Oryza sativa Japonica Group: one gene and its partner. The protein of the gene in region 1 interacts with the protein of each later gene in a biochemical or structural test. Links are inferred from orthologs where the notes say so. Each region holds a gene or a part of one and is shown in the gene's direction. Other genes may lie near its edges.

Region 1 (4,324 bases):
AATCACATTGTTTAGAAGCTCAAGGAACATGCAATCTCACTATCATTTAAGAGCAAGTACACTATTTAGATATAAACCAACTATAAACATATACGGAGGAAAGAAATAAAAGAAAACGTGTATTGTTGCCTCTCGAACAAGAGCCATCTCTACGTATACTCCAACATAGAAACATTGAGGTTGTGTTTCGGGAGGTGAGATTGGAAACTCACCTCCTACGCACGTAAAATGGAGTGACACATTTTCTTATGATTAATAAACCATTTACTATTTTTTTTAAAAAAATAGATTAATATGATTTTTTAAGCAATTTTGTATATAAAATTTTTGCAAAAAAACATACTGTTTTTAGCAGTTTAAAAAACGTACGCGTGAAAAACGAGGAAAGTGAGTTGAAAAATTCGGAGAAAGAACTCAGCCTAAATTTGTAGAGAGAGAAAGAGAGATGAGAGGAAAATAGAACTAACCTTGTATTTTGGGACGCATGGAATAGGAGCTTATAGCAACTTGTTGACTTTACTATTAAATTTGCTCTTATCACTTTAACCGTGTAGATCCAGTTTGAATACAGAGGCTAAATTTTATAGCCCCATCGTTTGGCCTAAACAGCCAAAGAATAAGCCAAAATTTGAATTTTTGAACTTGATTTTGAAGTTGATTTTGAAATGCTTTTAACGTAATTTTTGTTAATGTTGGCTTTTAAGTCGCTACGAACAAATCTACAAAAGTTTTACTTATAAATTAATTTTAATTTTCTAATAAGCCAAATAAGTCATTTTGGGTAAAATGACAACCGATGGGAGCCTTAGTCAACTCTCTAAAAAAAGTAATCATTCACTTGCAAAAGAAAATGGATATATACCTCCACTTTAACCGCTTACCATGATAGTACCTCAAAAATCATAGGGACCATTTCGCAATAATCTCACAACACAAGGACTAGAACCACAAAATCCATGTCATTGGCCATGGCCATGGGGGGTCATGCATGACGATCACCAAGCATACATACATACATACATACATGCCATGCACCCCCGAAAATATCAAGGCCATGTCAGCAATCGCCAGGAGGCGATCCGCCAAGCCAAGCAAAGCCTTCCCACCCCCCCGCCGCACTCACGAATAAGTATCTCACCCCGCAGCTACCCCACCCGCCTATCACCGACACGTGGGCCCCACATCACCCGCCCCCACGTGTCGGCGACCCGGAACCGCCGCGTGGGCCCCCACCCCACGCGCGCGCGCGGGTGGGAAATAGCGCGGCCACTACCACCACCACCACCACCATCCCCGGAAAAAATCTTTTTCTCGCCTCTCCTTCCTCCGAGCCGTTTCTCTCCCTCTCTCTCTCCTCCTCCTTCCCCTGCGCCTCCTCCACCGCCCGTGTCGCCGCCGCGCGCGTCTATCCCCTCGCCGCCGCCGCCGTCTACGCCGCGTGAGGTCCGGATTGGTTGAAAGGCTGATCGAGGTAATGCTTTTTTATTTTTCCCGTGCGGTTTTAGTTTTTCTGTGCTGTGCTTGGTGGTTTTTTCTTTAAAACTATTTTTAGGCTGGTTTTGATGATGGCCTTTCTAAGGTTGTCGTGTATGGGGGGCGAGGTGGTTCGGGTGGATTTGTGGTGTTATGTTGAGGGGATTTTTGTTTGGGGGGAGAGAGTTTTGGTGGTAGATGCGGTTGGGATTTTGAAGACGTGAAAGGGAAATTAGTTTTGAAATTTGACGGCGAGGTTGAGCTGATTAGTATTGTAATAATTCGTGGCATCGGATAGATCAACGCGAGATGGATGCTTATTACTGCGAATTTCAGGAGGTTTTTGTGGTTTTTTTAGGCGAGTAGCGTTGATTCTAGCTGGATTTTGCTGCTTCGTGGAGGCGTTTAGATGTGGTGCATACGGCTGTGGATGTAATTTGTGCGGGGATAATTACTGAAAATTAATTCGCAGTAAGCTAGCTCTGCTTTAATATTTTTTCCCCTGAAACAGTAACAAGGGATCCCTTCCTCATTTCGTTAACAGTGGAAGTGAATACAGACACCAACCGATGAGCAGAGACACCTGTAATTAAACACCAAAAGAAGAACCTGTTTTGTTCCTATATATTTTCCATTTCTATGCTTTAGGTAATATACTTTCTGGTTCGGTGTCATAGTACCCGAAATAGAATCTTTGCTTGCCAAAAAAAGAAAGAATAACAAGATAGAACAACATCATTAAATTCTGTCTTAGACAATACATTTATAATCGACCAACAAAAACAGACCGATGAGTGACGTGGAATAACAAATGAAGTATAAATGTCACGAAAAACACATCTATTGATTTTGTGTGATAAGCCATAGGAGCCTACGAGGAACCAAGTGAATGGTTCTGTACACCACATCCATTAGCATTACCATAAATTTGCCTATTTCTATGATGCCTTCCTTAACATATTTATCGACATGTGAGCTTGCACCATAACTAAATGTTATGGTAAACTTTACCTTATAAATGATTGCAACATGTACCTTTTCATTTCGATAATTAAAAACGAGAAAGCTTCCACCTTTTTCCTAGATATATTTTTTCGTTTGATTATGAATTTAGTTGTACTTGACAATAAAATAATGCGCTTGTAAGATTATGCAATTTTCGTTGCATTACCTCCCTCTCTTTTCATTTGTCAGTTTTTTTCTACTCCCTCCGTTTCATATTTTAAGTCGTTTGACTTTTTTCCTAGTCAGACTTTGTTAAGTTTGACAAAGTTTATAGTAAAATTTAGCAATATCTAAAATATTAAATTGGTTTCATCAAATCTAACATTGAATATATTTTGATAATATGTTTTTTTTGTGTTGAAAATACTTCTATATTTTTCTATAAACTTAGTCAAACTTGGAAGAAATTTCAGTAAGAAAAAAGTCAAACGGCTTATAATATGAAACGGAGGGAGTAAATTTTTTTTTGCATTAATTAAAATTCATGTATTTTCCTCCTTTTTTGGTTTTTGTTGTGCGATATATTACAGTGTAGAGACTCTGAAGCTCATATGGTTGGCATTGGTTGATATGATAACGTGTCACGTTGTGAGATGCAGACCCCCGTTATGGGGGTTGATTGAATGAAGTGGATAGCACTCTTATAACTTTCTTGCTCGAAGTTTCTTGATACCAAGGCAAGTAGCTTATAAGAAGATTTGGACTTTGGTGGCATAAATGGATGAACTAACTGGCGGCTTCAACGTGGTGTTGATTACAGGTGCTTTTATTGCTAACTGGAGCAGTTTGTGTAGTTTCTTTCTTTCTCTTTGAGAATTCTCTCAGTTTCTTGGGCAGGCTCTTGAGCTACCAAGTATGTCAGCTTCAAATGAGAAGTGGATTGATGGGCTCCAGTTCTCATCACTGTTCTGGCCCCCACCACAGGATTCACAACAAAAACAGGTAACATTATTCCTATTTGATTCTTGTTAGAAATTCTATATGTTGAACATACTTGCCTCAATGGGAAACTTGGTTGCGTCTCCTCTCTGAAGGCACAAATTCTGGCCTATGTTGAGTACTTTGGCCAGTTTACAGCTGACAGTGAGCAATTCCCTGAAGATATAGCTCAGGTACTGTATCTCTAAGCATGTTTAGTATCTTCTGTGATAAAATCTTTCTCCAGTGTGTTAACTTTTGCATTCTTTTTCTTGCATGCTTGCAGCTAATTCAAAGTTGCTATCCATCAAAAGAAAAGCGCCTTGTAGATGAAGTATTAGGTAATTTGATCCAGTGATCAATACATGTTCCACAAACAATTGAAGAAAGAGTTTGACATATTTTTCTCATATTTCCAGCAACTTTTGTTCTTCATCATCCTGAGCATGGCCATGCAGTTGTGCATCCGATTCTGTCACGCATCATAGATGGGACACTCAGTTATGATAGAAATGGTTTCCCGTTCATGTCCTTCATCTCTTTATTTAGCCATACTTCTGAGGTAAGGCCCCTACTCTAATGGTTAGTTCCAATTTATTGGTTCATTTCTCTGTGTTTGATAAGATTTTGCCTCTGCTGTGCATTTCAATATTATATCTAAACTGTGCTGCTTATAGCTTATCAAACTACTCTTGCTCATAAAGATGCAACTTTTATGCAGAAAGAGTACTCGGAGCAGTGGGCCTTGGCCTGTGGAGAAATTCTTAGAGTTCTAACTCACTACAACAGGCCAATCTTCAAAGTTGATCACCAACATAGTGAAGCGGAATGTAGCAGCACATCTGATCAGGCCTCATCATGTGAGTCTATGGAGAAAAGGGCTAACGGTTCTCCAAGAAATGAACCTGACCGGAAGCCATTGAGGCCA
Region 2 (4,611 bases), on another chromosome or scaffold:
AAGAAACATCCACACAATAAACTTATATTCGATGAATCAAACTACGAAAATAAGTGTGCATGTTATAAACTTAATATTTAGGTATTGTGTTGTATTTTCGATGCTGAATTAGTCGTGTCCAATAAACGTCAATGAGAATACTTCTTTTATCACATTTTCTCTGCATGTGTAAAAAACATAATTGAGATTCAATCAAGTGGCATATAACCGCTAGCTACTTCTGGAATCTTTGGCTTAAACCGTTCAAATTTTCACTTAGATTCTAAAAATTTGTAGATATTAAATCATAAGCTAATAAATCTATTTTTTAATTCTAACTATTAGTTATCCACCATTTGCTTCGAAATTGCTTCCCAGAATTTCGAGCTTCCCAAACAAACCCTAAGTCTTTTATTTAGCGTACGCAATTATTAGATTCTACTATTTTTTTGAGGGGTAATTAAATGCTCTATGCAGTACTCTAGTACAAGAAGAAACCAAATTTTCACTAATCCCTCTAGAGCAAGTTCAATAGTAGACTATAAACCAACTATATACTTATGTAAAGGAGAGAGAACAAGGGAAACGATGAGTCCCAGCTCTTATGCAAGAGATAACTATACACATTCTCGTAAACAAATAAATTAATTACATATAGAGAGGAGAAGAACATAAGATACAACCTGGTAACTAACGGTCCCGTCATCGTTTGGCTTTTCCACTAATAAGCCAAAACAGTTTATTAGAGAATAAAAATAAATCTGTAGACAAAATTTTTATATATATGTTTTTTCTGACTTAAAAGCCAATGCTGAAAAAGAAACTACATTGAAAATATCTCAAAATTAAATTTAAAAATTTAAATTTTGACTTTTTCTTGACTAATTAGGCCATCCGATGGGAGCCTAATATATTATATATATGTTAACTCTTAGATTAATTTATAGATAGTGGTTTGCTCTACTTTTAGGCTCCGTTCGGTAGTATAAGTTCCCAACTCCTCCTCGTTTTCCACCCGCACGCTTTTCAAACTGCTAAACGGTGTATTTTTTTGTAGAAAGTTTTTATACAAAAGTTGCTTAAAAATCATATTAATCTATTTTTTTAAAAAAATAGCTAAAACTTAATTAATCACGCACTAAAACGCTGCTTCGTTCCCAACCCTCGCTTCCGATCAGAGCCTAAACTTGCTCTTAGATTTTTACACCCCTAATATCTGGTCTTTTCCTATAAAAAAAAGAGAGAGGTGGAGAGGGAAAGAACAAAAAAAATAATTACGCTAGTGAAGCTGACAATCTGAAGATACTCTCCCTTCCACTCCACGTCTCCACCTCTCTCACGAGTGGAAAAAGCAAAACAAGGTGCGCCGTTGGATGCTTCCCCCTCCCCCCCAAGTGGCCCCCATCCGTGCGCCGTCCTTTTGCCGCCCGCGCGGGCCCCACCCCCACCACCACCCCCCGCGAGATATTTTGGTGGCAGATCACGTAATTAACCCCCAACTCCCTGCCCCTTCTCCCCCACCCACCCCGCGCGGATATAAACCCCGCCGCGAAAATATCTCCCCCACCGTCTCATCCCAGCTCAGCTCAGCTCTGCCTCCGCCATTTCGAAGCACATCGAGGAGAGAGAAAGTTCTAGAGAGAGAGGAGAGAGGAGAGATGTTTGATGCGGGGGATCGCGGCGGAGGCGGCGGGGTGGTGGCGGTGAAGAGGATGAAGCTGTGCGAGGAGGAGGAGGAGGAGGAGGAGGGGATGGAGGTGGATGAGGAGGAGGAGGAGGTGGGGTGGGTGTGGAGGCCGCCGGGGGGGCTAGCGGGGGAGGATGAGGCGGCGGCGTGGGAGGGGAGGGCGGCGGCGATCGTGGTGTCGGACGCGGTGGAGGTGGATTTCCCGGTCATCTACGTCAACGCCGCCTTCGAGGCCGCCACGGGGTACCGCGCCGACGAGGTCCTCGGCCGCAACTGGTGAGCCCTCGTGCGCGCCCTGCTCTTAGCTGTTCCCCGATCGATGCCGCTCTGCTCTGATCTGGTGTGGTTGGATGGGGATGGCGAAATGCTGCTTGTTTTTTTTTTTTGGTGCTCTCGATTCGATTCCAGCTCGATATGTTGGCGAGATTGATGGTGGTTGTGGATGGCTGTGTTGTTGAATTTAATGAGCTTTTGCCGTGCAGTCAAACCTTGAGATTTTAATGCGCATTTGTTAGAATTAGGGGGTTCCTGTACAGGCGTACGGTGCAGAGTGCGCACCACTCTGTCTCTGCCTTAATGCTTGCAATTGCGGCGATGATGCGTGATTCCTGACTAGTTGCTGTAAATTTTAGCATTTTATCCTCACTTTTGATTGGTTGTTTTTTTTTTTTTTGAAATTTATAGATGGGTATCATGCCAGTATGAGATTTAGCCAGAATTTGAAGTGTACTGTTTCTGTTAGACCATCTGTATTTTAGAGCCAATCTCTGAGTAATGGTGACATTGTTGATTTTTAATCTACACATTAAGCACAGCACGAGCAAGCCAACAATCGAAGTAAATTGTAGATAATGTTGTTCAAGTACAGTAAAAGCCTGAAAGGTGCTTACGCGATCTAGTTTGGATATATTCATGTTATTGCTAAATTTATGAAATGGCTTTTGAAACAAATTTTGTGTATGGAAGTTCTATATCGCATATTTGCATTGGACCTTAGAGGCGAACAACGAAATGTTCATATATTCTTTCTGGCTCTGGGTCATTTTTGTTTTCTGGTGGGAAGAGGCTGGGCAAGCAAGGGTGATGGCTACCCGTTAGATATTTTCCCCTGATATATCTTCTCTTCTCTTGCTCTACTAAAGTAGCCACTTGCACATAGAAAAAGGGATGATGGAAGAATAAACTGTAGCATATATTGTGAATATAAAATGAGATGGGTAGGCCATTAATTGGAATATAGCACAGTTGTCTGTAGCATGTGGGTACAAAAATTTACAACAGGGAGCATCACGGTTTTAGCCAGGCCTTTTTATTTTTTACCACCGGGCTACCAATTAATACTTAGTAACTTTAGTCTTCCATTGGCATATATCATATTTAGTGGTCGCCTGCTAGTGCTCTAGGAGGATATATTATACTGGATTAGTAAGACTTTTTCCTCCTCTCTTGGATGGTACTGGAAAATAATTAACTATGAATGTATTCACATGACAAATTAACATTGAATTTGGACACCAACTGTGAAATTTGATCCGTATTAACAATATGGAAAGCTATTATTGGTGACAACCTTATAAGTGTACTACAGTACTACACCTGCAAGGGTTTTCAGTTGACAAGTAGCTGATTATGGTCAGTTTCAGAATTCGGAACTCAATTTTGAGCATAAATGGAAGTTCTGGATGTAATATGAAGATAAACTTTGAGAAATTTGACTTGGGTTGTAAATGTTTGAACTTGATTTTCGTGCTGTACTGCTTAAGGCTGTCTTCAGGAGGCAAGGTTTACCTCCTGACACGGAAAACAATGTAAGCGATTAGAGCGAGATTAGTTAAGTACTAGCCTAAAAAAAATTAAAAAATGGATTAATATGATTTTTTTTAAAGCAACTTTCCTATAGGAAAATTTTGCAAAGAACACACCGTTTAGCAGTTTGAAAAGCGTGCGCGCAGAAAACGAGAGATGTGAGTTGGGAAAGAAGGGGAAAGTCTTTTAGGGACTCATTCCGTAAATGTCGTTTTACCATTTTGTGGTGATTTGCTCTAATCGTCCACGTCGAATGGTAAATATTCTTGTGTGCAGTCTGCACAATTAGCCTCTCTTTTGTCAGATTATGAAAATTCTTGAAAAACAATTTATTGAATTGCTTACATGATGCAAGAACTTGTCTCTTATATTACATTTTGACATATCATGCCATCACAAACAATTCCAAACATATTAATTTTATTTCCAAAAGATTCATTGGATGAGTTTAGTTAAACCTGTGTTCCATCATAAGTACTCCCTCCTTCCCTAAATGTTTGACACGGTTGACTTTTTTAAACATGTTTGACCGTTCGTCTTATTCAAAAACTTTTGTGAAATGTGTAAAACTATATGTATACATAAAAGTATATTTAACAATAAATCAAATGATAGGAAAAGAATTAATAATTACTTAAATTTTTTGAATAAGACGAACGGTCAAACATTTTTAAAAAAGTCAACGGCGTCAAACATTTTGGGATGGAGGGAGTAGTTTGGACATTCAGCAATCAGCATAAGCTCTAGGCATTGGCTAACATAATTAAGTATTCAATGTAGGGTTTTTTTTTTTTTTTTGCATTTCGACTAAAGTCCAACAAAGCATAAAAAAAATAGCTGGACTAGTTTCTGCCTAATGTTTAGCAATGTTAGCAATTAGCACTAGGTTAACAGAATACATTTGAAACCAAACAAAAAGCCACATTCTTCTTCGTTGTCTGCGACAAAGCTAATAGACAAATGCATGTTCTCTATGCTTGAATTGCTGTTATTCTACTATCATTTTTCATTTATACGAGTTGTTCAACTGTATCATATTTGCATCAAGCTAACAGTGACATAACTTGACAGAGGGCCTAGAGAAGCTTCTCACATTACTCTGTTGACTCAAACTTGTTTCAGCCGATTCTTACAATTCC

The links.
Region 2: the proteins of protein GIGANTEA (region 1) and adagio-like protein 3 form a complex in vitro, tested with the Arabidopsis thaliana proteins (2 studies listed by BioGRID). The link is inferred for Oryza sativa Japonica Group from reciprocal best matches to the Arabidopsis thaliana genes GI and FKF1.

What each region holds. Positions count from the first base shown.
Region 1 is NC_089035.1:4,346,041-4,350,364, reverse strand, and holds the start of protein GIGANTEA, read left to right. Parts: upstream 1-1,284; 5' UTR 1,285-1,471; intron 1,472-3,008; 5' UTR 3,009-3,238; exon of another isoform or gene 3,239-3,315; 5' UTR 3,316-3,333; coding exon 3,334-3,420; intron 3,421-3,512; coding exon 3,513-3,590; intron 3,591-3,682; coding exon 3,683-3,737; intron 3,738-3,815; coding exon 3,816-3,958; intron 3,959-4,117; coding exon 4,118-4,324. UniProt on the Arabidopsis thaliana protein: Involved in regulation of circadian rhythm and photoperiodic flowering. May play a role in maintenance of circadian amplitude and period length. Is involved in phytochrome B signaling. Stabilizes ADO3 and the circadian photoreceptor ADO1/ZTL.
Region 2 is NC_089045.1:22,116,898-22,121,508, reverse strand, and holds the start of adagio-like protein 3, read left to right. Parts: upstream 1-1,544; 5' UTR 1,545-1,637; coding exon 1,638-1,942; intron 1,943-4,543; coding exon of another isoform or gene 4,544-4,544; exon of another isoform or gene 4,545-4,594; coding exon 4,595-4,611. UniProt on the Arabidopsis thaliana protein: Component of an E3 ubiquitin ligase complex that plays a central role in blue light-dependent circadian cycles.